Kluyveromyces lactis: one gene and its partner. The protein of the gene in region 2 interacts with the protein of the main gene of each other region in a biochemical or structural test. Links are inferred from orthologs where the notes say so. Each region holds a gene or a part of one and is shown on either strand. Other genes may lie near its edges.

The links.
Region 1: the proteins of PSF1 (region 2) and MCM7 form a complex in vitro, tested with the Saccharomyces cerevisiae proteins (2 studies listed by BioGRID). The link is inferred for Kluyveromyces lactis from reciprocal best matches to the Saccharomyces cerevisiae genes PSF1 and MCM7.

Annotation. Positions count from the first base shown.
Region 1 is NC_006041.1:2,065,526-2,069,478, forward strand, and holds MCM7 (DNA replication licensing factor MCM7), read right to left. Parts: upstream 2,801-3,953; coding exon 320-2,800; downstream 1-319. Other genes in the region: AAH1 (adenine deaminase), read left to right, coding at 1-58. UniProt on the Saccharomyces cerevisiae protein: Acts as a component of the MCM2-7 complex (MCM complex) which is the putative replicative helicase essential for 'once per cell cycle' DNA replication initiation and elongation in eukaryotic cells.
Region 2 is NC_006038.1:615,639-618,671, forward strand, and holds PSF1 (DNA replication protein PSF1), read left to right. Parts: upstream 1-1,691; coding exon 1,692-2,327; downstream 2,328-3,033. Other genes in the region: RAD61 (Rad61p), read right to left, coding at 1-1,433; protein-arginine omega-N methyltransferase HMT1, read left to right, coding at 2,730-3,033. UniProt on the Saccharomyces cerevisiae protein: Required for DNA replication. Functions as part of the GINS complex which plays an essential role in the initiation of DNA replication by binding to DNA replication origins and facilitating the assembly of the DNA replication machinery.

The DNA of each region.
Region 1 (3,953 bases), on a different chromosome or scaffold from region 2:
ACAAGAACTACTCTCTGAGGTTTCAGAAGTTGTAAACAAATATGTAAACTTACCTTAGACTAAGTAGTAGATGGCATAAGCTAGGTTTATGCACAAAATAGATAGATTTTGAATTCGACAAATTAATTTTGGTTTTGAAAGATAGACTGTGATTACTTCTGCATCGTTCAGTCTATCTGGGAGAAGAGGCACATTAGAAGTTACTTAAACGTTAGTATATAGTAATACAAATTTGTCGTTAAACTAGGTTTAAAACTAAAATAAGGAATAAAGGCATTATTGGATCAAAACAGATTAGTGGTATGCAGATAGTCAGGTATTATTCCATATCGACATCTTCATCCGGTGTCCTTTGCGTCGAAGGGTTAGTTATATCAGAATTGTCTTCCGTTGTATCATCAATATCGTCAATAAATAGCAAGGTGTTTCCGTCTTCTATTTGATGCCAAACATTAAGATACTCATACTCTTTGATACAGCTTACCAGTTGCAGCATAGTGAAACCTCTTGATCTAATCGTTCTTACAATAGCATCATACGGTAATCTTTTATTAAATCTACCATTTTCAGTCGCCATTTTCTTGATAATTGTGTAAATTCTGGTTGTTGGGTTTTCATCTTCATATGGGTTCTTGCGGTCGCTGTATAATGACTCTTTAGAGACTTCTACCAACCTCAAAGCTTCGTCTACATCTTCAATTTCCACAGTGTCACTGAGCCTTAGTTTTGCCAAGGCCTGTGATAGTCTGATAATTGCAAGTAAAGTTCTAGGTGTTGCTTGCCCAAACGAGAATTTAGAATCCAACGCTTTCTTAGAGTCTTGTCTCATTCTTGTATAAGATAGAACTATGTGTTCATTGACATCAGCTGACAACACAGGTCTCTTAGTCTTGGCGTATGCAATATACTCTCTCATTTCGCTCGAAGGAATTGGTTCGAAACCAAAATCAGGTTGCCTGTCATACATATGAACGTACGTGACGTGTTCTGCTAACTTCTCATCGTTTTCTTTGCTTGGCATATCGAGTAGTAAAAACATGATATCGAATCTAGACAAAAGAGCTGCTGGTAGATTAATATTTTCAAGTGGAGATAACCTTGGATTATACCTTCCGTATAGCGGGTTAGCAGCTGCCAATATGGAGGCTCTGGCATTTAAAGTAGTGTTAATACCTGCCTTAGAAATTGAAATGGTTTGTTGTTCCATAACTTCATGGATAGCAGTTCTATCACTTTCATCCATCTTATCAAATTCATCGATACAACAGATACCGTTATCGGCAAGGACGAGGGCACCACCTTCTAGCACCATTTCATCAGTCACTGGATCCTTCATAACGGCGGCTGTTAGACCTACACCAGAAGAACCCTTACCAGTTGTATAGACACCTCTCGGAGAAATTTTACAGATAGATTTCAATAATTGAGATTTAGCAACACCAGGATCACCCATCAAGCAAATGTTAATATCACCTCTGATTTTTAGACCATCCCCGACTTTTTTTTCAACACCGCCCACTAATAATAACAATAAAGATTTCTTAACATCGAGATTACCGTAAATTTCTGGAGCAATTGATTTAGCCAAACGGTTATAAACATCACCTTGGTTGACGATTTTCGCTACTCTTTCTTTCAATTGATCATCAACTTGGAAAGATGCGAATTTTTTCTTATGCTGGTACACAAACTGTGTCTCTAGGTACGTTTCCGTTAATAGACCAGCTTTCAAAGCACGGAAACCAGTGTATGGTGAAGGTAGATATATACCAGTAACATCTACCACATCACCTGGAATCATGGATCTAGTTAATGGCCCATTAATGTGAATAGTTAATGTCCTTGGGATATGCCCGATGGGCACTTGATCTGATAGTTCTTGAATTTTACATTCTTGGAATGCACTGAACTTTGATGCCCTAGTACTCATGAACAATTGTCCCTTAGTTTGATTTTCGGAACATTGGGCAGAGGGACATTCTATTATTGGGGTAAAAGTTCTTTTATTAACTTCTTGGAACACTTCATGACCGCACTGATCACAAGTATAAGCGTTGACTGTGACACTTGGCTTCACATCAGAGACTCTGGTAATGATACCACGGACTGTAATCAATTTTCCCAAATAAGAGCCTTTAATTTCTCTTACTGACATTGGTTTCAGTTTCCTAGTGGATCTGCTGGTTAACGGTTTAAAATACAAATGATATCTCCTAATCAACGCAGCAGGGAACAAATCAGCGTCCGTAGTGGCCAATTGATCCAAATTGGTTTGAGACTCTTCGCCCATCCCTTGAGCCATTTGTTGGAATTCATCTCTAGTTTCCAAGATATTTCTTTCGTTTCTCAATCTTCGTTGGTGTAAAATGACGTCCAATACATCTGTTTCGTAATCGATATCTTTCGTTGGAGGCGGCAATAGTTCATCTACACAGTTGGAGAAAAGTTCTGTGAACCGCTTAGTGTTTTCCATGATGATACGGTGTAAGTTAACTAAGTTCTTGCCTTGTGCTGCTGTATTTGACGAAGACAAATTTTCAAATTGCTTGGTGCGCTGATAATGGTACACATCGTCCAATTCGATATACAAGATATCTTGTTCTCTATTGGCAATATGTTGCAATTGTTGCAAGTACTTTGGGCCCTGACCAACTTCAGGATCCAAGTTATCGTCATTATCGTTCTCCCCAGTAGAACCGATAGTTTCCTCTTTGTAATGGATCAAGAAATCTTTGATATTATCTTGAGCTACCTCGTAGTCAATTCCGAGATCCAGTGTGGGCAAAACCGATGAAGCCATGGTACTGGTGGTGTTCTGAATCGTTGGTTGGTGTGAGTGGCAGCAGACAGTAGGAAAACTGATAACGGAGAAGTTGTTGAAGATTAGCAGAAAGTGTATGCGTAAATGTTTCAAAGATCAATTGGAAAAACGAAAGTGATTTTTATTTTACAGTTCCTAATCGGGTAGAAGATGAAAGACGCATTACCCGGACACAACCACGTGACAAAACATACCAACATAATTACCCTCCCTCTTATAGTCTATTTTTAATTTGAAATTGCAATTCAATTTTTCAATTTTCAGTACTTTTCATAAACGACCACATTGGCTTGGCTGGACCCCCGGTATAGAGAGGCAGTAACCTCAAAAATTGGGTGAAAACAACCTTAACATTGCATTATCTAAGCCTAACAAGTGTTCAATGGGCCAATCGAGTGGACAATGGATATAGTATAGGAATTTGGCATTCGTAAATGGACACCCCAGTTTCAGAAACTGAAATTCAACATTTCCCCTCGCTCAAAGTGTACCGCCGCCCCTGCCCTCAGGGATAGCCCTTGGTAAACGAGAGGTATGTCATCGCAACGCGTAAACCAGGTGTAATTTATTACCTCCCCGCCCCCCATAAATTGTTTACATTTTACGCGTTGTACCGTACGTAAACGTCAAAAAACGTAAACAAACGCGTAAACCGCACCCTTAAATTTGAGAAATCAATTTAAAAAATCAATTTAGCTCCTTCCCAGTTTACGTGTTGCAAAAATGCACTACATACGGACCGGCATACCAATAGTTTACAGTTTATGCCGTTAAACATCACCGAAGCTAATGTTTATTATTATTACTACTGTGTGGAAAAGGGTACAGGCCCCGGCACAGCCCTATGTGTCGGCGTCGTTCACAATGACACTTAGTCAGACCACATTTATTTCACCGTTTCTCAGTCCACACACTCAAGATTTCGCACAAAACTCTCAGTCCTACACACGTTTCTAAGATGCAAAAGAAAAAGCCAACAAAAAATTCTCAAAATAAAAAAAATTCGCCTAGCTGAGTATCTGCATTGTACTGTAATGTACCTTAAAACTGGAAATCAGGTTAGAACAGCTGTCTCAGACTGACTTTCTGACAGTTACCTCGTTATCTTTAGCATTTTAACTGTTTTTGGTTT
Region 2 (3,033 bases):
TCCTGCTCTGATTCTATCTTTTCTCTCACTTTAATGATGTATGAGAGACAAGCACGTACAATTTTTACCTTTTCCAATGGAGAAAGTAGACTCAGAAAAAATGCATGGTTAGTCAATTTTACCATAATTTTGATAGTGCAGATATCCTCAATATATGAGGATAAATAATATAACATCTTTGGGTATAAATTTGTCATCATCTCTTCTGTAATAAATTTATCTAAATGCTGTTCAACCAGAACAAATAACCTTGGCGTAGGATTATTCAATGACTCGATCAATTTACTGAATTCATTACTGTTTGGGTCTAGGTGAAACTCCCATAGTGTAAATGTGAGATCTTGGGGATTTGTTTCAGCCCGCTGAACAAAATCCGTGTAGTTTAATTTCGTAATCTTTGAACCCTCAATAAGTTTTGGATTTTCTGTAAGAGAGGAACAAGTCATTAGGAGAGGTGATAACTGTTGCCATTGAGGGGCACTTCGCGGCAGTGGTACTAAATTAGCAATCCAAAGTTGTAAATAACTCATGACATTGTTCTCAGGGTTAATTTGCTGCAAAAACCAGTTCCATACTTCATTGCTTTTATACTTTTGAGTATAACTTGTCAACTCTGTATTGTTGAGTAATAGTAAACAACAGCTAATCAGTTTTACGACAAATAACTTTTCATCACTAGTAGTGAATGGTAAGAAATCCAGATCATCTTCGAACTTAAGCCCTTCTCCGAGTGTTTTTAATTGATTAACGTGAATGACGGAATTGGAATCATTAAAAGAAGTATTGTGATGTTGAGCATCCAAAATACCTTCATTATTTTCATCATCCTCATCGACATTTGATGCTTCTTCTTGTAGCTCTTCATCACTTTGAAACTCTTTTTTCAATAATGTACGTGTTCTTCCGTATCTCACCTGGCTCACTGCTGAAGTGGAGACCACTTTAAGACATTGAATTTGGCTATAAGTCGATATTACATCGTCGGAGTCTTTCAATGACGAAATCATCGAGGAGATACTGTCAATTGTACTTTGAAACTCATGAATCTCAGAATCATTATCAACAGCTTCTTCAACATCTTTCATATCGTCATTGTCGACTGTTATTCGTTTATGAAGCCTTGTCACTTTACGTTTCTTCTTCATAGATGTCGACCCCATACCATCCAAAATATCGAATGGATCAGCTTCAATTGTCTTTGAATCACGGTTTTCAAATGACTCGTATTTATGAGAGGAAGACACATACTCTTCTCTGACAGGAGCCATGGGAGAAGTCTCATAAGTTCTATCTAAATCTGTTGATAAACTTGTTTCTTCCTCGTCAGTTGAAGTGAAATTGTCCTCATCGCTTAACTCATTGTCTTTTTTATTCAAATGTCGCCTCGCCAAGGCTTGAAATTTCCCATAGTGACCATAAACTCTCGTCTTCATTTATCAGAACCTCCCAATGGGCTTTGTTGGTTTGCTTCCCCTTGTTTTCTTTGTTGTAATTTGTTCGCGTCTAAACAGTATCGTTTCACGTTAAAGTCCTTAAATTTTACGTGTTTTCCTCAAAGCGATTTCAATCTAGAGAAGAGAAAAGCTATGAACAACTTTTACAGAGATAACACAGAGGGAAAAGAACGTGCTAAAAGACCTGGAACTGGATTCAAGTCATTGGTTTTGATTATCATTGCCATAGTACCGAAAATGTACGGAGATCTCGCTAACAAGTTGATACTAGAAGCAAAGAGAACGCAACAGTTATCTCAAGCTGGATTCAACAAACAGCAATTACCAGTATATCAAGACGAGCTAGTCCGTGGCATCCTGAAAGAGGTTGGATCCCTCAAGAAGAACGTGGATTACCTACGAGAACAGCAGCTTACTGATCAGGATAACAAAGTCGCTCAATGCCAGTACGTCGTTGCTATGCTTTCGATGGAAAGAAACAAAAGATGTCTATTAGCATACCAAAAGATGAGAAGTGAGATGCTAGACTCAATGGTTTGGGATAACAACGGGATGGAATTTTCTTCTGCCATATCAAACCACCCGAATCTATCATCGTTTGATTCCTCTGTTTTATCACATGCAGAACAAGAGTATCTCAAAGAGTATGCACAACTACTTACCGAATTGAAATCGGGAGAACTCTCAGAAATCGATTTGACTGGGATGTTACAACCGCCGAGCGATGTGTTCATCGACGTACGAGTATTGAAAGATGCAGGACAAATAGAAACAGAGTACGGTGTATTCAACCTGATTAAAGATTCCCAATTTTTCGTCAGACAATCCGACGTCGAAAGACTTATACAACAAGGATATCTGCAGAAGATATAGCAAGGCAGCTTTTTTCGCCGAATTCTGCACCTTTCATTGCAATTCTGTAGATATCATTGCTGGTGATATTGCTGATGCAACCGTTCCAAATGCAACTAACTAGCTTTACCTCACTTTCACTATGGGGAATGCACGATTTCTTTTTGGATTTCTTTTTCTTGCAGCTCATCGCCTTCAAAAATTTTTCAGTTTTGTATTTAAGGCAACGAGGCATAAGTAACAGAACAGTACTTGATCTGGAACCAACTTGTTAGAACGGTTATTGGTTTGATTGCATTGAGTATAGTGTACAGCTTATTGGGATATAATATTTGTCACCATACATATACCAAGACTTGTGTTTCATCTTTAGTCTAATTGTTGAGCATATCTTTCCTAATTGTAAAGCTAATAAAATAAAGGATGTCCAAGACTGATGTCACTGATTCTGCTACGCAGAAAAAAGAATTGAACGAGTATGAACAACACTATTTCACCTCTTATGACCATTTCGGTATTCATGAAGAGATGTTGCAAGATACTGTGCGTACGCTTTCGTACCGTAACGCTATAGCCCAAAATAAGGACTTCTTTAAAGGTAAGGTTGTCCTAGATGTTGGATGCGGTACTGGTATTCTATCTATGTTTGCTGCAAAGAACGGTGCTAAGCATGTCATTGGTGTTGATATGTCTAGTATTATTGAAATGGCTAAGCAAATTGTTGAAT